7 linked regions of the Callithrix jacchus genome follow. The protein of the gene in region 4 purifies or fractionates together with the protein of the main gene of each other region. This does not show direct contact. Links are inferred from orthologs where the notes say so. Each region holds a gene or a part of one and is shown on either strand. Other genes may lie near its edges. The genes, in order: GMPS, SNAI1, ANXA2, TRIM21, FASN, ELAVL1 and IFI16.

Evidence for each region.
Region 1: the proteins of TRIM21 (region 4) and GMPS purify together in Homo sapiens (affinity purification with western blotting; 3 studies listed by BioGRID). This does not show direct contact. The link is inferred for Callithrix jacchus from reciprocal best matches to the Homo sapiens genes TRIM21 and GMPS.
Region 2: the proteins of TRIM21 (region 4) and SNAI1 purify together in Homo sapiens (affinity purification with western blotting; 3 studies listed by BioGRID, with this or other methods). This does not show direct contact. The link is inferred for Callithrix jacchus from reciprocal best matches to the Homo sapiens genes TRIM21 and SNAI1.
Region 3: the proteins of TRIM21 (region 4) and ANXA2 purify together in Homo sapiens (affinity purification with western blotting; 3 studies listed by BioGRID, with this or other methods). This does not show direct contact. The link is inferred for Callithrix jacchus from reciprocal best matches to the Homo sapiens genes TRIM21 and ANXA2.
Region 5: the proteins of TRIM21 (region 4) and FASN purify together in Homo sapiens (affinity purification with western blotting; 3 studies listed by BioGRID, with this or other methods). This does not show direct contact. The link is inferred for Callithrix jacchus from reciprocal best matches to the Homo sapiens genes TRIM21 and FASN.
Region 6: the proteins of TRIM21 (region 4) and ELAVL1 purify together in Homo sapiens (affinity purification with western blotting; 3 studies listed by BioGRID, with this or other methods). This does not show direct contact. The link is inferred for Callithrix jacchus from reciprocal best matches to the Homo sapiens genes TRIM21 and ELAVL1.
Region 7: the proteins of TRIM21 (region 4) and IFI16 purify together in Homo sapiens (affinity purification with western blotting; 3 studies listed by BioGRID, with this or other methods). This does not show direct contact. The link is inferred for Callithrix jacchus from reciprocal best matches to the Homo sapiens genes TRIM21 and IFI16.

What each region holds. Positions count from the first base shown.
Region 1 is NC_133518.1:29,660,201-29,664,546, reverse strand, and holds the start of GMPS (GMP synthase [glutamine-hydrolyzing]), read left to right. Parts: upstream 1-1,446; 5' UTR 1,447-1,655; coding exon 1,656-1,682; intron 1,683-4,346. UniProt on the Homo sapiens protein: Catalyzes the conversion of xanthine monophosphate (XMP) to GMP in the presence of glutamine and ATP through an adenyl-XMP intermediate.
Region 2 is NC_133506.1:45,525,307-45,529,604, forward strand, and holds the start of SNAI1 (zinc finger protein SNAI1), read left to right. Parts: upstream 1-1,259; 5' UTR 1,260-1,339; coding exon 1,340-1,421; intron 1,422-2,101; coding exon 2,102-2,629; intron 2,630-2,709; exon of another isoform or gene 2,710-3,280; intron 3,281-4,298. UniProt on the Homo sapiens protein: Involved in induction of the epithelial to mesenchymal transition (EMT), formation and maintenance of embryonic mesoderm, growth arrest, survival and cell migration.
Region 3 is NC_133509.1:7,151,638-7,155,423, reverse strand, and holds part of ANXA2 (annexin A2), read left to right. Parts: intron 1-243; coding exon 244-323; intron 324-1,734; coding exon 1,735-1,794; intron 1,795-3,647; coding exon 3,648-3,741; intron 3,742-3,786. UniProt on the Homo sapiens protein: Calcium-regulated membrane-binding protein whose affinity for calcium is greatly enhanced by anionic phospholipids. It binds two calcium ions with high affinity. May be involved in heat-stress response.
Region 4 is NC_133511.1:69,716,534-69,720,773, reverse strand, and holds the start of TRIM21 (E3 ubiquitin-protein ligase TRIM21), read left to right. Parts: upstream 1-1,298; 5' UTR 1,299-1,368; intron 1,369-3,676; 5' UTR 3,677-3,753; intron 3,754-4,240. UniProt on the Homo sapiens protein: E3 ubiquitin-protein ligase whose activity is dependent on E2 enzymes, UBE2D1, UBE2D2, UBE2E1 and UBE2E2.
Region 5 is NC_133506.1:137,716,025-137,720,313, forward strand, and holds the start of FASN (fatty acid synthase), read right to left. Parts: upstream 2,840-4,289; 5' UTR 1,974-2,839; coding exon 1,891-1,973; exon of another isoform or gene 1,845-1,890; intron 1,148-1,844; coding exon 1,014-1,147; intron 251-1,013; coding exon 98-250; intron 1-97. UniProt on the Homo sapiens protein: Fatty acid synthetase is a multifunctional enzyme that catalyzes the de novo biosynthesis of long-chain saturated fatty acids starting from acetyl-CoA and malonyl-CoA in the presence of NADPH.
Region 6 is NC_133523.1:7,539,469-7,543,939, forward strand, and holds the start of ELAVL1 (ELAV-like protein 1), read right to left. Parts: upstream 2,991-4,471; 5' UTR 2,891-2,990; exon of another isoform or gene 2,722-2,890; intron 2,605-2,721; exon of another isoform or gene 2,442-2,604; intron 1-2,441. UniProt on the Homo sapiens protein: RNA-binding protein that binds to the 3'-UTR region of mRNAs and increases their stability.
Region 7 is NC_133519.1:19,040,001-19,043,786, forward strand, and holds part of IFI16 (gamma-interferon-inducible protein 16), read left to right. Parts: intron 1-82; coding exon 83-244; intron 245-1,924; coding exon 1,925-2,002; 3' UTR 2,003-3,786.

The sequences.
Region 1 (4,346 bases), on a different chromosome or scaffold from region 4:
TCAATCCTTAATGCCAGTACACCACACCACATTCCATTCCACTGGGGTGGATGTTTACGTAAGTTAAGGCTGCTCTCCTATTGGTTTCTACACTCTTCGTTAAGATTGTGCATACAGACCAACCTAGAGAGGCCAGTATCCATGGCTTTGAAAATTTCAAAATTCCATTTTCAGTTCAAAAAAAGGTAAGAGAAATACTTGAGTCTCAGGCCCACTAGGACCTTGGGTCTTTTGTTTTTGTAAATATTTTACTAATAAACTGTCTACTCCTTCCCAGTTTGGGGAGCCCTTCCCTTCTATACTGAGAGGCACATTATCTTACTGAGCTTCAATTTCCTCATTTGTAAAAAGGATAAGAATATCAATCCTACCTTACTGCTTTCACGGGATTGGTTAAAGATAGCGAAAGTGTTTTCTCACTGGCTCCTTAATACCTTAACTAGAGTCTGACACAAGAATGACCGCAGCAAATGTTGGCTGTATTATAATATTTGTGGAAAGGCTTTGTTAGCTGGAAGCCATCTCAAGTATTATTCTTTATACACCAATACCGATTTAGGCCTGTAGGTAAGCAAATTCAAGGTAACACCTCATCTTGATGGTTGCCAAGGGGTAGGTGGAGGGATTGCAGCCCCTTTCCCACAGACAATCCCAATAAAAACACCGCTGTGCCAACAGAGCTTCATGACCAATTTCCTGACCCAGCTGCTCACCAGATGTCCACTCCCAAACTCCCTTCTCTTTGGAAGTACTGCACCTGCTGTAGAACTTTTTGTGGGGAGCTGTATAACTTTTAAAGTTCCTAAGTGATCAGGTCCTCCAATGACGTCCTTAAGATGTGGCCAAGAAACCTTCCAAAGCAGCCTTGGCCTCCCTCATGTCCGACAACCTAAGGCCACGCCACCGGCTAAGAGTTCCGCCAGGGGCCCAGCTCTCAGGAGGCCTCCTCGGTGCCGCCAGCCTCCCGTAGCCGTCCCAGGCAGCAGGCAAATCGGCCAGCGGCAAACTGGCTTGGCTGCGGCTTCGGTTTTTCTCCGGGCCGGCGCCGGGAGGCCCCGCCTCCCGGGGCGGGCTCCTCGGTGCGAAGGCGGGAGGGGCGGAGCCGATGGGCGCCGCGCGGTCTCCTCCTCCCAAGGGCGGACGGGACGGAGGCGGGCGCCGGCCTCCGTGTTACTTCTCCACGGGCAGGCCTCCGTGGCGGGGGCTGGGCCTGGTGTCGCGGGCCCCTCCTCCCAAGGGCGGGCCGCGGGAGACCCGGCCGGCTTTGCCGGCGGGGGCGGGCCTGGAGGGCGGGGACAGCCGCCGCGAGCCCCTCCTCTCGAGGGCCGGCCGGTTTGGCGGCGGCTGCGGAGGGTATCTGAGGCTCGGCTGCCAAGCTCAACGGGCTCTGGCTCCTCCCAGTGGCCGGCTGGGGCGGAAGCAAGAGGCGGGGGCAGCGTGCGCGCTGCTGGTCTCCTCTCCCGCTGCGCTGGGGCCCGCGCTCTGTGGCTGCTGCTCCTTTCGGCGCTTCTCTGGCGGCTGGCTCCTCTCCGTGGCTGGCTGCTCCTTGACCAGTCGTCCCTCTCAGCCTCGGCCCGCGGCGCCGACCCTTCCGGGACCCTCCCGCCCCGTCTCGTACTGTCGCCGCCACCGCCGCGGCCCCGGCCCTGGCCCCGATGGCTCTGTGCAACGGAGACTCCAAGGTCAGCGTGGGGGTCCCTGCCGCACCGCTTCCCTGCGGAGGCGAGGCTCCCGGACCCGGGAGCCACCTAGCGGGGCCCTTCCCCACCCCCTCCCCCCAGCCCGTCCGCGCAGCCCTGCGGCCCGGGCAGCCACGCGTCGGAGAGTCCCTGGTCGGGGCCTGTGGCATTTTTTCTCCTCGGGAGCGGCGGTGCTTTGTTGATTATGTCTGCGGGTCGAGGTCCGGGCGTCGGGGAGGGCATCGGCTCCCCGCGGCCGCCCCGCTGGCCCCTGCCTTCCCCGCGCAGCTGTGGGGCGCAAGAGCCCGCGAGCGCGGCCCGAGGGTGGGGGTAGGGAGGCGAGCGGGCTTGTGTGTCTGCGGGTCGGGCGGGGGCTTCCTCGGCTCCCAGCCCGTCCCTTTGGGAGGCTAGGGGCCTGTTGTGGCTATCCCGGGGCCCGCCGAAGGCAGGGCAGGTTCGGGGCCTCCAGTGCGGCGTTCTAGCTGGGCGATCCTCTGGTCTTCCCGCCACCCTGTTTCCCGCCTGCCCTCGGCGAGGCCCGCTCCATTCCCCCCGCCGGCCTTGGGCTCCGCGGCGGTTAGGCCGGTTCTAGACTAGCCCCGCGGGGCTGCACCGTTTTCCCCCTCCCCCTATGTCCCTGCAGGCTCGCGTGTGGGCTGGTGGCCCCGGGGTCGCGCACTCCGTTCCCCCTCCCCCATCCTCGGAGGGAAAGAATGTGTCCAGGTCCCGCCCCCGTCCAGCTCGGTCCCTGTGTAGCTTGCTGGTTTGCGGGATAACTCTCTTCCCCGCCTTTGGGGTCCCCCCCACCTCCGGAACGCGAGCCGTGCCTGTTCGCCCGAGGGCTGGACAGTCGGGAGTTCCGGGATGCTGGAAAAGTTGCCACCTTGACGTACCCAGCGAGGAGAGCGCGTTTGGCCGCTTCTGCGCATATCCTCGTCTCCAACTCACTTTTTTCTTAGACCCTTCCTCTTTCTTTCGTCCCGCTTCTGAATTGGGCACCTTCGCTTTCACTTCTGTATTAAAATTTTCATTGGCCTGGAGTTCTTTCCGACCTTTGCTAAGTCAGTTTTGCCAGCGGGAAACCGCGCAGTTTTGAATTGCGATTTACTTCAGCAAGATATACCCCCGCCTATATGCTGTTTAGGGCCTAGCTTTAGGAAAAAATTTAATTAAATTTCATTCGGGTGGGTGGGAATATATACTTCGAGTGGGATTTGGTGCTCGACCTCAGGGAGTAGTGACTTAGGCAGAATTTTAACATTCTTTTTAAAAGGAGGTGCTCAAGGGTCCCATCTTAGAGGTCCTCTTGAATGGCTGCTTAGCACCCAGTAATCTTTCAAAAAGTATTTGTTGAACAAATGAGTCAAGATTATAAGGTAGCTGATTTTAACTCTTAAACCAAGGCACCAGTGTTGCTTAGGTCCGGGAGCTCTTTCTGAGGTTTATAAAACTAAAGAAGACACACAAACCTTCTGTTTCTGACCTCAGGAGCAAATGTAAACCTCTTTGTCCAGCTCTTTCCTATATACTAGTTGACTTGCAAAGCATTTTTCTGTCTGGTTTTGAGATTTACAACTCATTGGATTCATCTTTATGCTGATAAAGGAAATAACTGGTATTAGAAGGACTCACCTGACTTATGGGTTTTGAAAACTACATAGTGCATTTGAGAGGAGTATTTTCACAAAACTAAGTGGCAGAGGAAAGTGTAAGATCTGTTTCCAGAGTATATAAGAGGATTTTTTTCCCCATAACTGATATTTTTTTGTGTGTTTTGCTAGACTTGGAATTACAAAGATAATCTTATTAGTTTGGTGAATTAATTTTATTTCAAGGTTCTTTATGTTTTATAACATAATTAAATATTTTAAAAACTATGTTAACAGTTGTAGACTGAATTGAAGCATTTTTAAGAGGAACATCTGGAGAATTAACATACTTCATCAAGTCTATGATTATTGTATGTACTCTCGAAGAAAAAAATCATGACAAACGATGACATGCCATTGATCTCAACATTTTAAGTAAAGAGATATTACATATGTGGAAATACCTTATATCACCTACTTTATTTTGCATATTTCTAAGAGGTCCACCTGGAAATAAGTAGGAGTCTTATTTTCCATAGCCTACAACTGAACCACCTTTCCCTTGGGAGGAAAGTGTAAGTGCTATATATAGGATTACTTTGTACATTGATTGGGCCTTTGCTGTGTGTATCCTAGTTCATAAATTAAAAGTTGGACAAGAGCTGGTTTTGATTCCTCTTTCTGGTACATTTCAGTTACCAGGATTTTCTAAAATGGCATTTTTGCATGATAGAAACTAGAGAGGGACCTAAAAGCCATAAAAGCATTTGGGTTATTTTAATTACTTTTTATACATAGTATTTTATTTAATTTTTAATTTATATATATTTTTTGAGGCAGGGTCTTGCCCTGTCACCCAAACTGGAGTGCAGTGGTGTGATCACAGCTCATTGCTGCCTTGACCTCTTTAGCCTCCTGAGTAGCTGGGACTACAGGCATGGGTCACCCCACCCTGCTAATTTTTACTTTTTGAGAGACAAGTCTTGCTACGTTGCTCAGGCTGGTCTGGAACTCCTGGGCTCAAGCTGTCGTCCCTCTTCATCGTCCCAAAGTGCTAGGATTAGAGGAGTGAGCCACT
Region 2 (4,298 bases), on a different chromosome or scaffold from region 4:
ACAGGCATGGCGAGACCTGTGGGGTTTATTTCAGCACCACCCCTGGGCCTGGCATGCCTCCAGGGAAGCTGGGGTAGGGGTGCAGCTGCTCCTCACCTGGGCCCACCACACATACATTCAGTCAGGGTCCCTTAGGAGCCGTGAGAGCCTGTAGACAGGATGGGGATCTTCAAAGGGCTCAGGAGACACACCGGCCTCATCCCAACTCTTTGCCGGCCTACGGGGATCTTTTTCAAGGAAACTCTAACCAGGTACCTCCTCAGCTGAAAATCCTTCGGTGGCTCCCCAGTGCCCTTGAGGCAAAGTCCAGATTCCTCACATCTGACCCCTCCGGGCCTGCCCACCCCACCCCATCCCTGGGAGCTGCTCTCCAGGAGTTACTCGGAAGCAGTTGCCAGTTCTTCCCTCGGGCCTTTCCCCTTGATAATTCTTCACTTCCTCTGGGCAGTCACCCCGACCCCCTGTCAGGTGACCCGCCTCTTAACGGTCGCCGCGTCCCGTCTCTCCCCCACCAAAGCACACTTCCCTTTGCATTGTAATTGTCTGTTTACTTCAGCTGTCTCCCCCATTGGACGGGTAGCTAAACTTCGAGAGAGGCTCTGAGTGTCCTGTCCAGGGCTGTGCCCCGGCCCCAGGTACAGTGCCCCACACGTGCTGGACGCTCCGTAAACACTGGCTAAGGGAAGGAACGGGCGCACTTCGCTAGGCTGCTTTGCAAAAAAGCCATGGCATTTCATGCTGCCAAGAGCCACGTGTAGTGTCCGTTTCCTCGCATCCTCCCCAGCAATATGCATTTCCCTCCTCAATGCCACGCTCTCCAGGCGCCAGCCGGGCGGAGGAAATTTCCGCCCCCTCCCAAGCCCGAGGCGGGGGCGGGCTTCGGAAGGTCAGGTGTCCCGGCCCGCGCGCAGCGCCAGGGGGCGTCAGAAGCGCTCCGACCGTGGGGCGCTGAGCGGGTGGGTGCGAGGGGTCCCGCCTCGCAGGGGCCTAAATGCGCCCGATGTCCCGCCCCGGACAGCCCCAGCACTGGGAACGACCAGCGCTGCGCTCCCGAACCCCGCCTTGCAGGAGCCTCCGCCCGGGCTCCCAGCGCCACGCGGCGCGAGCCGGGTCCGCCCCCGGCGCACCTGCTCGAGGCGTGGCCTTCGGCGGAGACGTGCCTCCGATTGGTGCTGAGGTGACAAAGGGGCGAGGCAGATAAGACCCCTCCCCTGCCGCCCCCTGGAGTATTTAAGGGAGTTGGCGGCGCGGGTGCACTCATTGCGCCGCGGCACGGCCTAAGCGGTGGTTCTCCTGCGCTACTTCTGAGCGACTCGGCGACCCCGGTGCGTTGGCCACCATGCCGCGCTCTTTTCTTGTCAGGAAGCCCTCCGACCCCAATCGGAAGCCTAACTACAGCGAGCTGCAGGACTCTAATCCAGGTGCGTTGGAGGGGTCCCGGGCTCCAGGAGATTTGGGGGAGACAGGCGAAGGCTGCGTGGGGGGCACCTGAAGGAGGCGGCCTGCTTGGGCCAGGATCGATTCGCAGGATGTTTTGTGGAGCATTGAGGGCTCGGGCTCGGGAGACCGGGCAGGTAGGTCTCCAGTCCCAGGGATCTATCTGAGTGGTTTGGGGGGTGCCGTGTAGCGGGCAGGGGTCTTGCGCTTGGGGGGCCTTTGTAGCCTGCGAGAGGCGCAGGAGCTCCCGAGGGGAAGGAGGCCTGTGCCAGGAGGGCCCGCCGGACGCTGCTGGGGAGAGTCCGGAGTCCAGAGTGTTGAGGAGAGGGGTGGAGAGACCAGATGTGTGTGAGGAGGGGGACTGGGGTGGAGTGGTGGCTCGGGGGCTGGGGTAATGGGCTTCTGGCTTCAGGCTGGGGACTTGGGACTCAGGAGACCGAGATCTGGAAATGACCCTCTTCAACTGGGGGTCCTACCTGTGAGAGACTCAGGTTGGGTGACCTGGGCGAGGAGGGCAGGAATTTGGTCTGCCCTATGGATAATTTTATTGATCTAATTATGTGTTGAGAGTCAGCCTCACCCAGCCCCTGGCCAGCGGTGGGCTCTAGTTTGTTGATTGAGTGAATGATTTAATTAACGCCTGACTCTGCTCTTTCTCCCTCAGAGTTTACTTTCCAGCAGCCCTATGACCAGGCCCACCTGCTGGCAGCCATCCCACCTCCGGAGATCCTCAACCCCACGGCCTCGCTGCCAACGCTCATCTGGGACTCTGTCCTGGCCCCCCAAGCCCAGCCAACTGCCTGGGCCTCCCTTCGGGCCCAGGAGAGCCCCAGGGCGGCAGAGCTGACCTCCCTGTCAGATGAGGACAGCGGGAAAGGCTCCCAGCCCCCCAGCCCACCCTCACCGGCTTCTTCGTCCTTCTCTTCCACTTCGGCCTCTTCCTTGGAGGCCGAGGCCTATGCTGTCTTCCCAGGCTTGGTCCAAGTGCCCAAGCAGCTGGCCCAGCTCTCTGAGGCCAAGGATCTCCAGTCTCGAAAGGCCTTCAACTGCAAATACTGCAACAAGGAATACCTCAGCCTGGGTGCCCTGAAGATGCACATCCGAAGCCACACGCTGCCCTGCGTCTGTGGCACCTGTGGGAAGGCCTTCTCTAGGCCCTGGCTGCTGCAAGGCCACGTCCGGACCCACACTGGTAAGTGCCCCTCCTGGCCCGCCCCACTGCTTTCTCTGCCAGCTTTTGTGAATCTGGGCTTACTTTTCTCATTCTCAAAGTTGTAGACACGGAGGCCCCGAGTCTCCTAACTTCTAACTCAAGTTCAGGGGCCCGGCTCTCTGGAAACGTTTGGCAGAAATGTTCCTTCATCAGCTAAGCAGATGGGCAAAGCAGACACCTTTCCAATCCCCTGCAGCCAGCTTCTCAGCCAAATGGGTAGGAGCTGGATATGGGAAAGGTGCCACCAGCACCTTGTGGTGGTGGCCAGGTGCGAAGGGGTCCGCCTGGCCCCACCCTCTCCTGATCCACCCCTCCCTAGCCAGACAGGATGTTGTCAGACCCCCCCCCCACCTGGCTCTGAATCCTGCTTTGAGAACTTTCTCAAAGCTTGGTCTGATGTTTCACTTCTGTGAGCCTCATTTTCCCTATCTTTCAGATGGGCATGAGAACAGCCTATGGGGTTTCTATGCAGGCTAAATGCAGGAATGCGTATGGGAAGCACCTGGCAAAGTGCCTGGTACCTGCTAAATGCTCACAAAAATGCTTCCTTGCCGTTTGCTCGGCTTCCCTGCTGTGTGACTTTGGGCAAGCAACTTAACCTCTCTGAGCCTCAGGGGAGGATTATGATAGGTAAGTTTTAGAGAGTGACTGTGAAGGTTGATAATCACTTTATGCTAATCACTTTGCAGTAATTTATCATACCTGGTGGTTCTCTGGTCTGCTTCCCCACCCCCACTCAGTCCTATCTGGCAGACCAGGAAAGGCATCTTTGGGGCAGACAGCGCAATCATGTCTTGGTGTCTTGAAAATTTACTAAATGCGTAGGAAACTTTCTGGACGTGGAGAAAAGGTAGAACTTTTTAGAACTTGAATGGTGGTGACCACCATGCCCAGAGCTGCTCTGGAGAGTGACGGTTGAGAGAGGAGATTCCAGGGGTTCACCCCGGGCAGGTTCTGCCATTTCCTGACCCAGCACCTGACCTCGGAGTGGTGAGGGTCAGTGCGGTGTCTGGAAGGCCTGGCCTTTTGCAGGCTTTATTGGCATCTTACTCAACTAAGGCTACCCATTTCTCTTCCTTTGTGCACCCTTAGCCCTGATTTTAACATGTAAAGGTCCAACTGCCTGGCCTTCTGGGTGCCTGCCTAGCTCACAGGGCTCTATTTTGGGAGCGTTGAACCCCTCAGGGTGCTGCTCTGCTGTCCCCCCTCCCTTGCCCCCAATCCGGCATTATTTTAATGTAAAGGCACGGCTGGGACACAGAAATGTATCACTGCTGTCCTCATTGACTCCCATTGTGTGCCTTAATGGTGGGCCCAGTGGGTGGGGGCTGGGAGGAGCAGAGCAGGTGCATGGGGCAGCGGTGCCCAGCACCTGTTCCAGTCGCAGCTGCTGGCCCAGTGCATGGCAGGCCCCTTTAATCCGGGGGTATCGCATGTACGGTGCCCCCCTCGGTGGCCTTTGTCCCCGCCGGCCTGGTGCCGATTTCACACTTGCCAGGAGAACCATGAAGGCGTCTGCGGGGCGCGGGATCTGAGAAGTGTAGTCTTCGACTCCTGCATGTGCACACAGCCCCACTCCCAGAGCCCATCATGTATGTCCTAGAACGTCTCCTTTCTCTTTTGTTCGTGTGTGTGCCATCACACTTAA
Region 3 (3,786 bases), on a different chromosome or scaffold from region 4:
ACACAAGAGGTCACTGGTCAAAGGTGAGCCCGAGGATCCCTGATTTGATCTAGCCCGGCTCTGATTTCATGAGGGTGAAAATCATTCTAGTGAATCCTTTGTCCGTTGGAGGTTAGGGAGAATGGATGTATTCAGCTGACATAGCTGTTCTGCTTTTCAGAGACTTAGTGGGAAATGGGAAATTGGGGTGGGTGGTTGGCTTCACAGGCAGAAAGCATAAAACCAGATGTATTTTTCTCCAAGTGTACAAGACTGATCTGGAGAAGGACATTATTTCGGATACATCTGGCGACTTCCGCAAGCTGATGGTTGCCCTGGCGAAGGTTGGTTTCCCAGTTTCGTTCTTTGTCCTTGCCTCCTCCCAAGGCAAGTCACACACCTCATTTTAGACTTGGAGTGAATTAACTAAATCCCCTGTGCCTGCATCAGAAATTCAGCTGCATTTTCGACAGTGGGCTCGCACTGTCACTGCGGAGTTGTCAATTTTGTATAATAGGATTTCTTATCCTGCTAAACCTCATGGACAAGTGGACTTTGGGAGCAAGAGGAGGGCTGGGCAGCTCTCAAGTCCTGGCCTGGATTTACATGCCAGAGCCTTGGCCGCGTGACTTAGGGAAGGTCACTTTGCCTCTCTCTGTGGTCATGCAGGACCCAGTGGGAAGTGACCTTCTTGTTTCTTTTTCTTGCGTTCACTTCTCAAGGGAGAATTTGCCCACGTAGTCCTTTGCCTGGAGTGAAGTTGTCTTTGTTCAGCCAGTTGCTAAGGTTAACACATTAACATGGAGGAAAGGGCGCTTCCCCGGTGAATCCCTAATTCTGACTGGTGTGTCACTTAATGCTTATGTGCCAGGGGAGGGACGAGAGACTGTTTTCTCTGGGAACCCTGAAGACAAATGACAGGCGATATGCCGTCTCTGGCCCACTCATGTATCCGTTACTGCGACAGCTCCTGTGCTGCTCTCCCTGGCTCTCCTCTCTTCCCTCCCACCTCCCCGTGTACCGCCGTTCACGGATCTCTGTGAAATACGCTTTTACCACGTTACTTCCCTGTTCAAACCCATTTCTGCTGCAGCCATTGTAAACTCTTAACTGCTGGGAAAAGTCCGCTATACCCTCCCTGCATCTTCTCTGCTAGGATTCTCTGCTGCTCAGCTCTGCTCTGACAGGGCAGCTCCTTACTTACCTGGGAGCGTGCTCTGCTGCATCCGTGCTGGCCCTCGTGGGCAGTCTGGCTCTCTCTCTCCTCTTGGCTGGCTGCATCTGACTGACTCTTGAAGTTTCAGCTTCAGCCCAGCCCCATGCTTCACACCGTTTGCTGACTCTCCTCTCTGAGAGTTCTTCCTCCTCCTGGATTTCATGTCTTCCTAGTGCTTTAGGTTCCCTGGCTGCTGTACATTTGTTTCCGCTTATCCTTCCGTCTGCATTGCAAGCTTGCTGAAGGAAAGGGCTAAATCTCATCAGCTTTTTGTGGGGGATGGGGAAAGGGATTCTATAAGGTGTGTAGGCCAGGACTGGGTACCAAGGAGGGGGTTGTTGATGGAAGGCACAGCATCCACTTCCTTGCTCAATGATTTTACCATCCTTGGCTGGTCTGGGTTTCAAAGTAAGAAAAGTCTTAGGTGGATACTTATTTAGAAAATTAAGTCATGGCTTACATGGACTAGGGAGAGAACATTTTCAGTTTTAAAATACACAAAGAAATGGATTGGAAGTGCTTTTCTCCCCTCCTCATAGGGCAGAAGAGCAGAGGATGGATCTGTCATTGATTATGAACTGATTGACCAAGATGCCCGGGTAAGTGCTGAGCTTTTTGATTTAAGTTTCTGTTTTCTTGTAAGTCTCTGGATAGTCTGTATAGTAATTTAACCCTGTATAACAAATGATTTCCAAACTCTGTGATTTAAAACAACAAACATGTATTATTTCTCAGTTTCTGTGTGTCAGGAATTGAGGAGTGGCTTAGTGCACTGGTTCTGGCTCAGGGTCTCTTGAGCATCCTCACAACATGGCAGCCGGCTCTCCCCAGAGCAGGCAATCTGCGAGAGAGCAAAGAGGAAGCCACAGCATCTTTTATGACCTAGTGTCACAAGTCCCACCCTGCACTACTGTCACCAGTTTCTGCAGAGTGTGATGTGGCTGTGCACACCAATCAGGCAGGCAGGTGGGAAGCAGAAGAAGGTGGAGAAGACACAGCCAGGGACTGGACGGCTTACTGCTTCATTGTGGTTGGGGAGAAAGGGAGGACTGCTTCCAAGACTGTGCACTCACGTGACTGTTTGGTAGGAGACCTTTGATTCACTCCACATACGCCTCTCCACGGGGTTGCTTGAGCATCCTCACAACATGGCAGCCAGCTCTCCCCAGAGCAAGGAATATGAGAGAAAGCAAAGAGGAAGCCACAGCATCTTTTATGACCTAATCTCAGGTGTCCCACCCTGTACTGCTGTCATACTCTTCATTAAAAGTGAGTCATGGAGTCTAGCCCACGCTCACTGGGAGGGGATTAGGCTCCTCCTCTGGAAGGGAGGAATGTCAAAGAATTTCTGGCCATCTTTTAAACCCACTGTAGTCTGAGAGCAATGCTTATCAGAAGATACTCTCTTAGAATGCTGGCATTACTTATGGAGTCAATACCTGACTCGCACATGCTCATTCAGGCTTTGCTTGTATGGAAGCACCAGTCTCTGCAGAGTGTGATGTGGCTGTGCACACTTATCAGGCAGGCGGGTGGGAAGCAGAAGAAGGTGGAGAAGACACAGCCAGGGACAGGACGGCCTACAGCTCATTGTGGTGGGGGGATAAAGGAGGCCAGCAGAGACCTGTCCTTTTCTGGCTGAATAAAACTTTTGCCAGTTCTAGTTCGATAATCTCTGAGAACTATTTGTTAAGCTTATTCAGACTGCTGTGAACTGTATTTGTTACTCAAGGGTCAACAGTTACCTCAGTAAGTCATAAAAGCTGCAGAAAAACAATTAATTTAAATTCTTGTTAGTTTTAAATTCAGTATATTCCACACAACGCTTCTAGAAGGTAGTAGAGAAGGCTTTTAAATAAAATAGAAGTTGGATTTTGCAGTTCCCAGATGGTGGAAGGTCACGGAATGAATACCTGCCCTTGCATAAGCCTTTCTTCCTCTTGCCCTTCCTGCCATTGCTAAGGACTAGCGCCTTAATTTTCCAGAAACTGAAAATGAGGTGGGACAGGCTCCTTTTCCAGCTCCATCACTCCCTGAGTCTCTGAGAAGCTTGGGAATGGGAGCCTGGCCGTAGCTATCCAGTAAACGCTGACTAGCTTATCTGCCCTTAAATGTGCCCAAAGGGAGGAGGGCCAGATGTGCTAATTAACATCAACTTGTCTTTCTGTATGTGAGTAAAAGCTCTTGGTCCTTCCTTTCTTATTCAAGGGAGGAGACTAATCACAGACCTCACGAACTATTTGCAGTCTCCTTTGTATCCATGTGTGCCTAAGGAAGACTGCTTGTGACTAAGTATGTCTACATAGTACGTCTGTGCCCACGTGTGTAGTATAATTATTCTTCCCCATTGGGCATTATGAGCGTGCAGCTTTTCTGGTTTTTTTGCATGACAATTTTTATGATCTTATGCTGGATCGCATAGTTAACTTTTCCTGGTTGTTTGTACTTGTAGGATCTCTATGATGCTGGAGTGAAGAGGAAAGGAACTGATGTTCCCAAGTGGATCAGCATCATGACCGAGCGGAGCGTGTGCCACCTCCAGAAAGGTGGGCACTGTGCTGAGGGGGTCTCGGTGCCTTGGGGCTCTGGGG
Region 4 (4,240 bases):
AGCACACTGCCATGTGTGTACCTACGCAACTGTCTTGCATGCTCTGCTCATGTACCCCAAAACCTATAATCCAATAAAAAATTAAAAAAAAAATAGACAAATGGGTAAGGAAAGTGTGGTACACATACACAATGGAGTACTGATTAGCCATAAAAAGGAGAACCTTTCATTTGCTACAACATGGATGAAAAATAGGGGTCATTATGTTAAATAAAATAAACCAAACACAGGCAAACAACCAATTGTACATTCTCACTAATAAGTGGAGCTAAAAATTAGAACAATTGAACTCATGAAGATAGCAGAATGATGGTTACCAAAAGCTGGGAAGGGTAGCCAGGAGTGTGTAGGGGGGTGATTAATGGGTTCAAAATACATGAGATAGAATGAATAAGATCTAGTATTTTATAGCATAACAGGGTGACTACAGACAATTTATCATACATTTTAAAATAATTAAAAAACATATAATTGGATTGTTTGTAACACAAAGAAGTGATAAATTCTTGAGGTGATGGATACCCCCACTTACCCTGATGTGATTATTACAGACCGTATGCTATACCTGTGCATCAAAATATCTCATGTAGCCCATAAATACATACATCTACCACAGACACAGAAAATTTAAAATTTAAAACAAAATTACTTGGGTAAATTTTATATTCTGTGTATTTAACGATTAAAAATTAATATAACCTGAGAATGTCCCTAGCTCGGTGATAAGAACATAGTTGGTTATCAGATGTCAATTCCCTTCTCACCACTCACTGGTGGGATACTTACCTCGGGGTCATGCGAAATAAATCACTCACCTGCAGATGTTAAAAAAATAATAGTCACATCAGTCACATGAAAAGAATTAGCTTCTGGAAGTAAGAAACAGATGACGGCACGTGAGGGAGAGCACCAGCCACTATTCTCTGCATCCAACCCTCCTTAAAAGCAGCTTCCAGACATGGGCAAAGCATCTAGGTGTGGGGTGATAACCAGTGTCAAAGAAAGCAGCCCGGACTCCCCCATCTTGCAGATATTTTACTAAATCAGATAATGAAGACATGGGAGGGGGTGCGCACCCAGGACCACAGGCTACTGGGCTTCCATTACTTCCCAGTCTCATAGAAGCCCCCTGGCTGTCCAGAGCCTCTGAAGCCCCCCGCCAGCCCAACTCTGACTTCTCTCCTCCCACCTCTCTTCCTTCTCAGCGGCATTTCTCCACACACCCTTTCAAGGCTCCGCTCCTCCCACGGCTCCTCCCTCTCTCCTCTCACGGCTCCTCCTCCCTCCCCTTTCCCGTCAGACTTGCCTCTGAGCGGAAACTGAAAGTGAAATAGGGAGCTGGCTACCCGCGTTGAGTCCCCTGTAAAGGTGAGTGAACCTCACTAAATCAAGGAACCCCTGCCCTCCTAGTGGACCTCTCCCCTGCCCCAGGGCTGCAGAGCCCCTTCCAACCAGTCTCCATCCTTGAGCCGGTCCCATTTGCCCCTTCTCCCACCGGGGATCCCTCAATCCAAGCCCCTCTGTGCTTCCGAGGCTGGTCTCCTAACCTGGAAGGAGGCTGGGGTATGGACATGACTGCTGCGGAGTTACCCAGAAGGGGTAGGGTTCCGGGCACTTGGGAGGAGACTGGGGTGTGGGACGTGACTGCGGAGTTACCCAGAAGGGGAAGGGTTCCGGCTGCCCCCTACTTGGGAGGAGGCTGGGGTGTGGACGTGACTATGGAGTTACCCAGAAAGAGAAGGGGCCTGGCTGCCCCATTGCTGGCACCTGAGCTGGGATGAGAGCTGGGTGCAGCTGAGAGAGCCAGCACTACTGCCTAGCCAGGAGCGTGGGGGAGATCTGCAATCCTGGAGACTCCCAGGTCCAAAAGTCCTCCAGAGGTGAGGGGCAGGCTGCTTAGGATGTTCAACCAGAAATGTATAGGCCTTCAAAATTACTCTTTGTCATAGAAGAAGTGATGTCAGGAACTAAACTAAGTTTGGAGCAGCTGAAAGAAGAGCCCAGGGAGTGCTGGCCACAGTTCCTGTTGCTCTGTGTGAATACATTCACATATACATGCTCATGTACATACATATACACCTGACTTTTGCCAATATTGGAATGATTAATGAAGATGTATTCAAAGCATGTGTAGTATCTCTGGCACATGGAAGGTACATGGTTAAAAGTAGCTATTTTATGACTAGTTTCTCAGCAACATGGAGGCCTGCTGGTACCAGAAAGAAGATGAATGGGCACTGAGGGTTTAAGCAGGAATGGACATGAGAGAACTGTCAGCTTTATGAGGTTCTTGCCAATTTTCACTCCCTCCTTTAGGGACTCAGTTTCTCCTTCTGTCCCAGTGGATCAATGGGCCAAACAGTGGAGGAGTTCTTGTTATTCAGAAGAATAAACTTATTAAACAAACTATTTGGTCCATGCAAAAGTAATACTGTTTTTGCCATTAATTATTTTTCCATTAATATTATGCCCTTTTTTTTTTTTTTTTGGAGATGGAGTCTCCCTCTGTTGCCTGTGCTGGAGTGCAGTGGCACCAACTCAGCTCACTGCAACCTCCACCTCCCAGGTTCAAGCAATTCTCCTGCCTCAGCCTCCTGAGTAGCTGGGATTACAGGCACCCACTACCACTCCCAACTATTTTTTGTATTTTTAGTAGAGACAGAGTTTCACCATGTTGGTCAGGCTGGTCTCAAACTCCTGACCTCAGGTGATCCACCCACCTCGACCTCCCAGAGTGCTGGGATTACAGGCGTGAGCCACCATTTTTATTTTTTTATTTTCCGTTTCATCATTTTGTTTTTCTTTTTTTAGTTTTAATTTTTCTGGGCATGTAGTAGGTATATTTATGGGCTACATGGAACATTTTGATACAGGTATACAGAGCCACCATTTTTATTTTTTTATTTTCCTTTGCATCATTTTGTTTTTCTTTCTCTAGTTTTAATTTTTCTGGGCACATAGTAGGTATATTTATAGGCTACATGGAATATTTTGATATAAGTATACAATGTGTAATAACCACATCAGGATAAATGGGGCATCTAGCACCTTAAGCATTGATCATCTGTGATAAACTATGCAATTATACTCTTTCAAATGTACAATTAAATTATTGACTATCGCCACCTGTTATGCTATCAAATACTAGATCTAATTCACTCCATTTTTGTACCCATTAACCATCCTACTTTTCCCCCAACACATCCTCCCTACTATTCTTCCCAGCCTCTGGTAACCATCTTTCTATTATCTAACTCCATGAGTTCAATTGTTTTGATTTTTAGCGCCTACAAATGAGAACATACAATGTTTGTCTTTCTGTGCCTGGCTTATTCCACTTAATGTAGTGACCTCCAGTTCCATTCATGTTGTTGTAAATGACAGGATCTCATATTTTATGGCTGAATAGTACTCCATTTTGTATATGTACCACATTTTATTTATCTATGTATCTGTTGATGGACACTTAGGTTGCCACCAAATCTTGGCTATTGTGAAACATACTGCAATAAACATGAGTGTGCAGATATCACTTTGATACAGTGATTTCCTTTCTTAGGGGTATATACCTAGCAGTGGGATTGCTGGATCATATGGTAACTCTATTTTCAGTTTTTTGAAGAACCTCCAAACTGTTCTCTGTAGTGATCGTACTAATTTACATTTCCACCAACAGCTTATGAGGGTTCCCTTTTCTCCACACCCTCACCAGCATTTGTTATAGCCTGTTGGATAAAAGACATTTTAACTGAGGTGAGATATCTCATTGTAGTTTTGATTTGCATTTTACTGATAATCAGTGATGTTGAGCAACTGTTCATATGCCTGTTTGTCATTTGTATGTCTTTTGAGAAATGTCTATTCAGATCTTTTGTCCATTTTTGAACCAGATTATTACATTTTTTTCCTATAGAGTTGTTTGAGCTCCTTACATATTCTGATTATTAATCCCTTGTCAAATGGATAGTTTGCAAATATTTACTCCCATTCTGTGGGTTGTCTCTTCACTTTGTGGATTATTTTCTTTGCTGTGCAGCAGGTTTTCAATTTGATGTGATCCTATTTGTCCAATTTTGCTTCGGTTGCCTATGCTTGTGGGACATTTAAATGAAATCTTTGCCCAGTCCAATGTCCTGGAGTGTTTCTCCAATGTTTTCTTGTAGTCCTTTCATAATTTGAGGTCTTAGATTTAAGTCTTTAATCCATTTTGATTTTATTTTTGTATATGGTGAGATAGGGG
Region 5 (4,289 bases), on a different chromosome or scaffold from region 4:
GTGCCGGCACCCAGTTCTACCAGCACCAAGAAGAGAGCACTGCCTGTTCTACGTGGCAGCAGAAACCCTGGGCACAGCATCACCAATGCCAACCCACCTCCGTCCACGATGGCCTCGTAGGTGACTTCCAGCAGCAGCCGCAGCTGCGGGTCCATCGTGTGTGCCTGCTTGGGGTGGACCCCAAAGAAGGAGGCATCGAACCTAGACAGGTCCTTCAGCTTGCCAGACCGCCGGGGCAGGCCATAGAGCCCTATGGGACAGGCAGATGTTTAACTCTCTGACTGAAGCTGCCAGGAGGTGGGGACCCTGTGGGGTGCTGCAGGGAATTAAGGAGTCTCTGCTACACCAGGGAGGCCCAAGCAATGGAACAGGCTCCCCAGGAGGGGAGGACTGTGGCCACAAAACTGGTACATTGAGGTCTCCTGTGCAAGACCCCAGGCCCAACCCTGAGATGGGCCCCAGAGCAGAGAGAGCTCGGTGGGAGTGAGGCTGGGGGACCCTCTGCCCGGCCCATGCCTCAGCTCCACCATGCTGACTCACAGCTCACCCGTCAGGTAGAGCTGCTCTGTGGAAGAGCCTACTGGGCGTGGGGGAGTTGGATCAGCCTCCCAGAGCGCACCTGGTATGCAACCTGCCAGCTCAGGACACAGGCGGGGGGGAAGCCTGGCTGGAAGGGCTCTGCCCCCTTGTCAAGAGACCCCAACCCATCACCCATCCTCTGAGCTTGACTTCTCTGTAACAGGCACATGGGCCCTGCCTGGCTCGGCCCTGGGCCTTGCAGCTGTTGGGGGAGCCTCCTGGCTGGCTGGGCCCATTTTCTAGGCCACTCTGGTGCGGTCTCCAGGAAGGAGGCTGTAGCTTGGCCTCGCCCAGGGGTGACCAGTGGCTCTGCAGCTGGGACCAGGCTCAGGCCAGTGCCTGGGTGGTGGGGACACAGCACAGCAGGGAGGCCGGTGTGACGGCGAAGGTGGAGCTGACCCACCCCGGCCACAGGGAGCCCCGCAGCCACGCACCCGCCTTCCAGCGCCGGTCATCGTCCGTGACCATATCCACACCGCCAATGAGGTTGTCCCAGAACTCCTGCAGGTTCTCCGACTCTGGCAACTTCCCGGACATCCCGGCGATCACCACCTCCTCCATGGTTGCTCTGTAGGGCGGAGGTGTGAGTGTCCCAGGTGTTCTGGCTGAGACACCCGTCAGCAGCCTCAGCTCACTGAACGGGTGGCCACCCATAGGGTGAGCCAGCCTGAGGATCTGTGCAAGCCCTGGCCCCACTGTCACTGCGAGGGGCTGCATGCTCTGGGAACAGGCCCACCTCTGGGCCCTGACCCATTCAGTATGGGATATTGGCCTGGGGACCCCACTGTGGCCCTGCTGCCCTGACCTCCACTGCAGTCTGAGGTTTTTGCGCCTGTGCTGGCTTCCCCTCAACCGAGCCTTAGCCCTCAAAGGCTCCTGCAGCTTGTCTGGGGCCATCTCTAGGGGTGCCCAGGGGCTCACAGTGAGGAGCACGCAGGGCCACCCCAGATGAGGACGAGGTCCCAGGTGGCCAGCCTGAGGCAGGGTCCCAAAGCCAGGGCTGGAAAAGGGACCAGAGGGCTCATGGAGGTGGCAGGGAATCCTAGAGGGGGTACTCAGCACCCATGTCCACCTACATTGGAGTGGAGGCCCAATGTCCAGGCCAGCCCAGGAGTCACCAGAGACGAAGTAGAGATAGGCTTGTGCTCTGGGGGAAAGATGGCCCCTGCCCCACTGAGGACCAACCTAGCCTGTCCAACCCCTAGAGCAGGATCTAACCTGGAGAACCGCTCCTGGCCAGGATGGTGTTCCCCGGCACCCCTCACCTGTGTAGGTGAACCCGCGGACATTTGCTTGCCTCCCCATACTGACCCAGACAGCAGCAGGCCCTCCCTGGGGCCCAGGTCCCTAAGACCTCGAACCCGGGCCCAGGCTGCCGGCTGTGGATCCAGCATGGGGCTGGTGCAGCCCGCGGGGAGAGGGCCGGCCTGGCCACTTGCACGAGGCCCCGGGACTGGATGCACACGCCGCCTCTAGGCACTGCAGCCTCCCTCAAGCTGCGGAGTGCCCGGGCCGTTCCGGCAGGGAGGTGGCCGCCTTCCCCCCACACCGCGATTCAGAGGCTGGCGCCGGCTCTAGGCCCGCACGCTGGGTTCTCGCAGTTTGCGATTCACGCAGAGTCGACGGTCAGGAAGGGGGTGGGGACCCCGTGGCGCGCCCGGCCTCCCTTTGCCCGGGGTGGGGGCTGCTTGCAACTCCTGCTCTTCGGCCCGGCGGCGCCACGTGATCCGGAGGCCGATCTCCGCGCGGACCCGCGCCCACCACTTTCCTCCCTCGCGGCGTCCCCGTCGTGCTGGGCCTCGGCTATGAGGCGGCCCCTAGAGGAGGATGCGGCGCGCAGGGCCCGGCGCCTTTGTGGGCGCGGGGAAGCCGGGCCGGGAGCTCCTCCAGAGCCTCCAGGGTCCGCGGCCTCCCGCCCGGGAAGCGAACGTGGCTGCTGGCGGCGCTCCCCGGCGTCCTTCCCCCGCGCCATCCGCCCACCTGCTTCGTGGGGCTGCGGGCGCCTCCGAAGCGGCTCAGACACCGAGACCCGGGCAGGCCGCGCAGGCGACCCTTGGATGCGGGCGGGACAGGCCACGCGCGCCCTGAGACCGGAGGATGCAGCGCCGGCTGCCCCGTGACCCCGCCGGCCCCTGCCCGGACCACGACCCGCGCCGGCTGCTCGTACCTGGTGAGGGCGCGGGCGGCGGTGCGGGCGGCGGAGAGCGAGGCTGGAGCGCAGCGGAGCGGGAGGCCGGGCCGCTGCCGTCTCTCTGGCTCCCTCTAGGCCGGCGCCGACGCTATTTAAACCGCGGCCATCCCTGGGCGGCCACGCCACATGGGCTGACAGCTTGGCTGCGCCGCCCAGGCCAATGAGCGTCGGGGCTGCGCCCCGGGACCCAGCGCGCCGCCGCCGGTGGGGTGATGCCCGTGCGCGCCGCCGCCCGAGCCGGGACCCTGCGCGACAACGCGCAGGGGGAGGGGCCGGTCCTGGGGCGCGCTGGGGGCCGAGCGCGCGGGTAAACCCCGCCCCCCGACTTCCGCTCCCCGCCCCGCGGGCCCAGACGCGCACGCGGTTTGGACCGAGTTCGCGGCGCGCCCCCGAGCCTGGTCTCCGCCGGGACCACGTGTACGGGATGGGAATACTTGGACCACACTGGGGACTGCGCCGCGGCCGCCCCGGCGAGGGGTTCAGGGGGTGCTCGGGCCCACAGGCGCGGACAGACGGAAGGACATGCCCGCGTGCCCGCAGCTCTGCCGCCCTGCTACGAGCCGCCGACGCTGCCCGCGGGCGTGGTACGGCGGCCGCAGCGACCAATCGGGCGCCGGGGGCGTTCGCGCCGGCCCAATGGCGGCGCGCGGGTGGGCGTTGCTAGGCGATAGGGTGATGGGCGGGCGGCGGGGCAGCCCAGTGTGCTGCGCGGCGCGGTCGTTGACCCCGGCCGAGGGCGCCCCGAGCGGGGTTACTGCCGGTCATCGCCGCGCCTCCCCGGTTCTCCTTGCGGAGCCCGGCGGAAAACCCAGACGGACGCCCACTCACCCGACGGCCCCTTCTCGGCAGCCTCCCGGGTACGGGGTCGAGCCGCGGGGCCGAATGGGCGAGCGCACCCCAGGCTGCCGGAGCGCACTGGAGGGGTGGGGCGCGGCCACGTGGCGGGCGCTGTCGGCCGGGACACCCACCTGGTGTGATGCGAACAAAGGGAGCCGCTGCCCGGCTTCGCTAGGCGGAGGCTTCGAGTTTTCCAGGCGCGTACCCACGGGTGGGGGCTCAGCCCGGCCCTCGCGCCCTCCCTCCCCCGAGTGATTCCACACCACCGATGGTTGCCGGCTCGGCGGTCTGAACCCTGAAGCGCGCCCTCCCTTTCCTGGCCGCCTCGCGCCTGCAGGGCCAAGCACCCCATGGGGACAAGCGGGCCTTGCGAGGCCACAGGTGTCCCTGGCTGCATGTCCTGCTTTGAGGGATCAGGCCCGGGCCACTGAAGGGGAACCAGAGACTGAACCCCCCCCTCCCTGCCCGCCCCTCTGCAGGTACCCGGCCTCCTCCCTCTCCAGGGAGCAGGCCTGAGTGTCAGGCGGCCACTCCACAATCTTTTCCCTTCTGGCCCTGGGGCTGTGGTTCACACACAGTGGGACGGAAGGTCAAGGAAGGACAAGGGGACACAGGGCCGGGGCTGGTCCCACACTACTGTCCCCACTGGAGGGGTTTTTCTGATGCAGGGTGAGGCCCTGTG
Region 6 (4,471 bases), on a different chromosome or scaffold from region 4:
CTAGCTTTATGTTTTAAGCCACCAAAGAGGTCAAGAAAACGTGTCTTTTTTCTGCCCAAAGACTTTAAACCAGAAAGGACACATGAGATGTGCATTTACAGAAGAAAACTCCTGCAGGAGTGTAGAAAGAGGGAAGAGATGGGAAGCAGAGAGTGAGAGAGGCAAGAAAGCACGAGGAGGCCAGTGTTTTCATAATTCTCTCATTTCTTTTACTTGAAATAGCATTAAGGGCTGGGCATGGTGGCTCACGCCTGTAATCCCAGCACTTTGGGAGGCCAAGGTGGGTGGATCACCTGAGGTCAGGAGTTCGAGACCAGCCTGCCCAACATGGTGAAACCCCATCTCTACTAAAAATACAAAAAGTTAGTCAGGCATGGTGGCGGGCGCCTGTAATCCCAGCTCCTCAGGAGGCTGAGGCAGGAGAATTGCTCGAACCCAGGAGGCAGAGGTTGCAAATGCAGTGAGCCCAGATGGCGCCACTGCACTCCAGCCTGGGTGACAAGAGTGAAACTCCATCTCAAAAAAAATAAAAAGAAAAAGAAATAGCACCATGATCTCAGACTCAATACATCCGAACTGAAACTCTGCCTGCTCAAAACCAATGTGTCAACATGAACAGTATTATTTCCTTCCACATTTGGAGACGTTCATATATCTCAGACTCTTTGTGGGCTTTGAAGTTGCAAAATTTCATAATACATCCCAGCACAGAACTTTGCATACAGAAGGTATTCGATGACAACTGAGTGGTGTGCCCTGGAGCCTTGAGATTTTAGGAGCAGCACAACCCGGTAGTTACGAATAAGGGTTTTTAATCAAAGGGCCCTGGCTCAGCCACGTTAGTGCATGAGACTGGTCATATCAAGCAACCCATCTAAGCCTCAGTTTCTTCATCTCTAAAATGGAAATTAATGGAAATTGTAACATCACCTGCCTCAAGGACTGGAGACGAACGTCCACAAAGTGTCAAGCACATAGTAAATCCTCAATAAAAACTGGTGGTTATGTGTAACATTTATTCAGTGCCTACCAGGCACAGACCACGGCAATGCAACGGGTTTCTCACACCCTTCAATGTGCACCACACTTTTGTCCTTCCCATTTTACAGACAAGAAAACTAAGAGGCAACAGAGTCGCGCATGTTTGAGGTCTTGGAAACATCTTCCAGGGGGCCCGTAATTCCAGCTACTCGGGAGGTTGAGGCAGGAGAATCGCCTCAGATTGGGGCTACAGGAACTTCTGCAGGAAGGTTATTTAGTTCAGTGATGGTTCTCACCTGTGTGTGTGCGCGAGCGCGGAGGAGACCGCGACCACCCGCCCCCCCATCCCCCCATCCCCCCCCCCCCCCGCCACACACACCCCCCACGTAACTCCGGACATCTGGCACTGTTTGGAGATATTGTTGATCCTCACGATTTGGGGGATGGGGATACTGCTGGCATCTAGTGGGTAGAGGCCAGAAATACTGCTCAACTTCCTAAATTGCACAGGGAAGCCCCCCCACCACACACAACCAAAAACTATCTGACCCCAAACATCAGTAGCACCAACGTTAAGAAACCTCTGCCTAGCCAGATCGTTCTCCTGATCTTCCTACTTCTGGAGCACTGGCCATCCGGATCCCAGATGAACACTTTCTAGCAAGGGGGCTCAGTCCCGCCGCGGGAAGCCCGTGTAGAAGTTGAGCAGAAGTTCTCCTTCTCAACCTGCCCTGCACACAGCAGGGACCAAAACCCATTTTAACAAGCCCCGCAACCCAGAGCACCGGAAAAGGAAGAAAGAGCATCCATCCTCCATTGTTCAACTCCGGGCAGCTTGTATCTCCAAGACACACACATATTTCACAAATCCTAACGTCCCACGCCCCACAAACAGCTTTGTTAGAGATGGCGCTCAAAAAAAAAAAAAAAATAGATGCAGTTTAGATCCCCACCCCCCCGGACTCCCAGTGTGCCTACTGAAGGGTTGCATGCTTCTCAAAGGACCTCGCACCGGCCACGGTGCTCTGACAACGACCACAAAAGAATCTGTGGGATTTCCCGGGGGAGCGAGCCCGTGGGCCTTGACCTCCGCGCGCTCAAAGCGCTCCCCGCGCTCCCCCGCCGCTGGCCTCACTCTTCCGCCCCCGGAGCCCGGGCTTCCAAGACGACCGGGGCCCCGGCGGTGCAGCCCGGCCCCCTGGCGCGTGCCCACGCCGTGTCCCCCTGGCCCGTCCCTCGAGGTGCCCGAGGAATCCAGCCCCGGGGCCTGTGGCCGGCGCCCACATCGGTCCGCCCCGGCCTGACTGCCACGGTCCCCATGCGCGTCCCCTCCCTCGGTCCGGCGCGGCCTGGGCCTCAGTCGGTGCAGGCCCGCGGGCGCCCAGCGGCCAGGCCAGGCGAGCTCAGGCCTGCCGCGGCCTACCCCGTCGGGCGCCGCCGAAGGCTCCCCACCGCCTCACCTGGACGCGGGCGGGCTGGCCCGGGGCTGCTCCGGGGCGGGCGGGCGGCGGCGGCGGCGCGGCGCTAACGGCTCCGCTCGGCCTCGGTAGCGGTGGCGGCGGTGGCGGAGACGGCGACGGCGACGGCGGCAGCGGCTCCTCCTCAGCGCGCACGACCCGCTCCGGCCCGCGGCCCGGACACGCCCCCCCGGCGCGCGCGCCCATTGGTCGGCATCCGCCATGGCGTGCTGCTCATTGGTCAGCGTAGCTGTCGCGGCGCCCCCAGGCGAGCGGGGGAGGCGGGACTTCCGGTCGGCGCCGCCTGCGAAGGACTCCGCAACCGGCGGAGACGCGGGCGGCCAGCTATGGCCGCGGAGGGGGCGAGCTGGGGTCTGGACCTTGGAGGCTGACAGAAGGCGGTGACTGAGAGGCGCCTCTAGTCGAGCGCTCGCCGTGTGTTCCGCACCTACCTTTACTGCCGCCGCCTCCCATGAAGGTAGGAACGGTCAGCACGCCGAGGTTACGGGGACAGGACCTGTGTTCGAATCCCGGCCCAGATGTTTCTGCACTACGTGCCGTTAAGCAGGTGCTGACGTCATCTCGCCGGGCCTCAGTTTCCTTCTCTGGTGTACTGAGGAGGCGGGGCATGGAACGTGGTCAGCTTCACATTGCTCTTTGAGCAAGCCAGTTTCTGAAAGCTCAGCCTCTTATTCATTAAAATGTCATTGAGCGCCTACTGTGTGTCAGTCACTGTATGGGCAGTGAGCAGAAAAAAAAAATACCTGGCCTTATTGGGCTAACATTCTAAGCCAGCGCTGGCTTTAGTAGAAATAGATGCAAGATACATGTCTAATTTTTTTTATAGAGATGAGGTCTGGCTCTGTTGCCCAGGCTGGTCTTGAACTCCTAGGCTCAAGTGATTCTCCTGCCTCTGCCTCCCAAAGAGCTAGGATTACAGGTGTAACTGCACTATGCCTATTTTTTCCTTTTCTTCCACACCACCCTTTTTTTTTTTTTTTGAGACAGGATCTCACTCTTGCCCAGACTGGAGTGCAATGGTGTGATCATGGCTCGCTGCAGCCTCAACTTCCCTAGCTCAGGCAATCCTCCAACTTCAGCTTCCTGAGTAGCTGTGACTACAGGACATGTCACCATGCCTAGCTAATTTTTTATTTCTTGTAGAGATGAGGTCTTGCTATGTTGCCTAAGCTGGTTTCAAACATCTAGACTTAAGCCATTCTCCTGCTTTAGCCTCCCAAAGTGTTGGGATTACAGGCGTGAGCCATGGTGCTCAGCCTATTTATTTTTTTAATTATATGTTTTTAGAAAAGTTTATTAGAGATTAGGTCTCACTGTGTTGCCCAGGCTGGAGTGCAGTGGTTCTTCACAGGCCCAGTCATCCCACAGGATTAACTCCTGACCTCAACTGATCCTCCTGCCTCAGGCTCCCAAGTAGCTGGGACTATAGGCACAGGCCACCACACCTAGCTCACATGGGTAATTGTTAAATTTTTTTTTTTTTTTAGATGCAGTTTTGCTATTGTTGCCCAGGCTGGAGTGCAGTGGTGCAATCTCAGCTCACTGCAACCTCCGTCTCCCTGGTTCAAGTGATTCTCCCGTCTCTGCCTCCCGAGTAGCTGGCATTACAGGCATGTGCCACCACACCTGGCTAATTTTGTATTTTTGGTAGAGACAGGGCTTCTCCATGCTGGTCAAGCTGGTCTCGAACTCCGGACTTCAGGTGATCCACCTGCCTTGGACTCCCAAAGTGTTGGGATTACAGGAGCGAGCCACCACGCCCGGCCATAATTGTTAAATTTTAAAGTAGCCAGCATTCTGGGTCATCACCGTGCAGTAGAAGTATAAGCCAGCCACAGATTGGTCAGTGAGGTATGTAATTTAAATTGATTAAATTGTTAGCCTTGTTTAAAATGAAAATAAAATAAAAAACAGGTAATGTTAATTGTAATAATGTGTTTTATTTATTTACTTTTTGGCAGAGTCTCGCTCTGTTGCCAAGGCTGGAGTGCAGTGGCGGGTTCTTGGCTCAT
Region 7 (3,786 bases), on a different chromosome or scaffold from region 4:
AAGATGTGTTTCATCTGACCTTGTAGAACATTAACTAGAAAAAAAGAACAAACATCTTTTTTTTTTTTTTTTTTTTTTTTAGGAAAGTAAAGACCCATTCCCCAAAATGAATGACTTCTGGAGGATGCCTAAGGAAACGTGGCAGTTTCCAGGACCGTCCATGACCCGCATAGGCCCAGCTGGGAGCCAGCCCCAGACTCCTCCGATGTCTGCATCAACACCATGCAGCAGTTTCTTTACCACGGTACCACTTCCTCTTCTCAGTACTTCCCCCCGTACACTACAGTGACGGAGATTAACAGAACCTTGAGAGCACTTCTCACCATTCCCCTGCTACATACAATGCTTTATTTAACCAAATCAGTCATTTATTCATCAAGTATGTATTTTGAGGTCCTATCTAAAATTAAAGTTCTCTTATTATCTTCTCTATTCCATAGCAGGTATAATTAGATGTTTGTGTACTTTTCTTTTTCTTTCTTTTTTTTTTGAGACGGAGTTTCGCTCGTTACCCAGGCTGGAGTGCAATGGCGCGATCTCGGCTCACCGCAACCTCCGCCTCCTGGGTTCAGGCAATTCTCCTGCCTCAGCCTCCTGAGTAGCTGGGATTACAGGCACGTGCCACCATGCCCAGCTAATTTTTTGTATTTTTAGTAGAGACGGGGTTTCACCATCTTGACCAGGATGGTCTTGATTTCTTGACCTTGTGATCCACCCGCCTCGGCCTCCCAAAGTGCTGGGATTACAGGTGTGAGCCACCGCGCCCGGCCCAGTTTTATTTTTCTTTTGGCTTACATTTTTACTTTTCTCTCAGTACACCATGAAAATAATACCTTAAAATAGAATAAGGTGGGAAAAAAAACAGAGCCAACGTTAACACTATCACTGATTCTTTGATTTATTATAACTCAAATAATATCATCTTTAAAAATTTATGAAAAGAGGCTACATAAGCAAAAATAATTAACTTTTAACTTTCAGAAACCTCTGTGCCACATTTCAGTACGTAGTCTTTCTGATTTTACATCTTTCATTATGTATATACAAAGAGTACTTTCCTCTCTCAGAGTAAATTACATTACACATATTTTTCTATAACTCTGGTTTTTTATTAATATATCTTGAACTTCTATTCAATCATACAATATAGATTTAAATTATTTTATTGTACCAGAAAAAGTGCATGGTTATTCCATACATTATAAGAATGGTCCTATATTACTTGGCTTTAGGTGGCTTTCAGTATTCTGTGTCTTTAAAATGGACATAATAAGAGCACGTGTCTCTTGGGTCTTTTTTCACTGCCCTCAGAGTAGCTTTATAATTTATTCCCTAGGTTCTGTGCACCTTGTGCCGGGGCATTGATCTCATGGCTACTGTGAGGAGATTTGACACTGATTTTCCTTGGGAATAGTTTCCTAATGCTGTAGAAAATTGGCCACATTGATGAGTTCATCAAAGTTAAAGCCATCACTCACAGGTGGCCGATACCATCTTCCAGGTCAGGTCACATTGAGCACTGCTGGTCTGTGGAGGCAGCTGTCCTGCCTCCATGTTCCGCTCTCTAGGACTCCCTTGATCCCTTCTTGCCTCCATACTTCCTCTTCCAGATCAGCAGCCCACCCTCAACTCTTGGGGTCGGGTGCACAGCTCCTTTCTCTCTCCTGTTGTTCCCTGACACCTGCTCTTTCACTTGTACTCATGCAGGTAGGAGTGAATATCTCATTTCACGGTCCCAATTAAAGAGAGAGGCATGACTCAAAGGTCAGGAATTGATTAAAGGAGATAGATGAGAGTGAGAAAAGAATTATTTTGAAAGGAATAGGGGAAGAGATATGGTGCATGGGGAGGAGACACTGTGATTGAAGGCAGAGATGTAGGATCACCAGCATCTCAACTGCTCTGTATCTCTTTTTCCTTCAAGGTCATAAAGAGGGAAAACAAGAAAGAGGCACTCAATCCTGATTCATATATGAAAACTTCGTCAAAGTCCTTCTTCTAAAATCTGGATGCCGTTGATAATAATGCTTATGGAGATAAGATCTAAGTGCCTACAAAATGTATATCTACCTGGTTGAAATACAACACTAGATATGCCGCTGTTATACATACCAGCTATTAATTTTTAGAGATGGGGTATTGGGAGTGCTTTTTTAATTCTTTAGGGTTTTGTATATAAGGCCATATTTTGCATCTACAACTTTTATAATTTGAACAAAACAAATAAACGTTACCTTTCTTTGTGAAAGGAATTCTTCCCCGGCAGTCTCTTTAATCCATCCATGAGTTGCTGAAAAGCAAATAGTTTGTGGTCTACAAATCTGGGTGCAGCACCCGGGCCTCTAGCTATATTTGGATTTGTACTTTGGGTGTGATCTTTACAGGATAGGCCCTAGTCAAGAATGAACAGGCTATGTTCTGCTGAGAGGAATCAGGCTGAAGGGGTAGGTAAGGGTGAAATCCAGCCTGGGGTTCGGTTGCTAAGCACTGTTATTGTTTCAGCCCAAAGCAGTAGATATCTTTTCAGAATTGGTTTCCTTGAAGGGGCATAATTGGGTAATTTTTCTGCCAAATGAGGCGCCTTCTGCTGATGTGCATGAAGGCACTTGTCTGTGTTAGAGATGTATCTGGGCCTGCCTGATGTGAAATATCTGGTTTTATTTGCTTCCTCAAACACCAACTGCTCTTCAGGCATGTTGGAACCATATTTCCTGTTTTCACAATGCACTATAGTGATCGGATCCATTAGAAAGCTGCCCCAGGCAGAACTGCATTAGGCAAACAGTGAAGATAATTGATTTTCTTTAGAATAGACTAGCTGAAAGTAGGCATCTCAAACTAGAATTTAGCCAAGTTTCTTGATTATATATTTGGTACCTGATACTTTGCGATTATTTTGTGGCACTTTATCTTCATATTAGCTCTAGAAGTTTGATCATTTTTTCCCTTTTACTCACCCTATAATATGTGACAAAGAATAGAAAGGCAAAGTCACTTTCGTAATGACACTTAGTAAATTAGAGAGATTGATTTAGAACCCAGGCTGCTGTTCCCGTTTGGGGTGTGCGTGTTGGGTGACGTGTGGGGGATGTGGTGGAAGCTGTGAGGGATGGAATGGGGACGTCTACTACTGTCCTAGGGCTTTTCTTTAGTTCAGCTAAACATGGGCGTCCTTAGCACACGGCTATGAAAAATTAGGCTCGCAGACAATCTGAAGAGTGAGAAGGGCAGAGTTTACTGGGTGAAAAGGGAAAAAAGGAAACTCTGCAAAGCCAGCCCTGCTGGTGCGCTTGGCTTCCTGCCTTGCAGTTTTAATTTCAGGTTCCACCCAGGAAGCGGAAGGGCCAGGCTCTTCCCCACTGCAAATGACGCAAACTTCTGTGGCTCCAACCCAGTGCACAGTCCTCCCGGTGTGCAGGCTGGAGTTTCTATGGGGACCCCTTCCCACCTGGCGGTGTCATTGCCCCCTCTAAGAAGTGTGCATCTAACTGCCATTAGAATAAGGACAAGGATAAGGACGAAGACCGATCTTAACTGCTTTCTGCTGACAGGGGGCGCCGTTTTGGGGAAAACAGCAAAGTCTCTCAGAGGCCTATTTAAGGGCTCCCGGCGGAGGGGGCCATTGTCTTCCTCTCCAGTTGCATGACTGTTTGGAGTCTGATGGCCTGAAGATGAGAAGAGACCAATCGTGTTATTAGAAAACATGTATCAAAACGAAACAAGGGGAGGGGTAAGAACAGTTCAAAAATCCCAAGGCCTTTGATCAGTTTGTACAAAGAGAGGGAG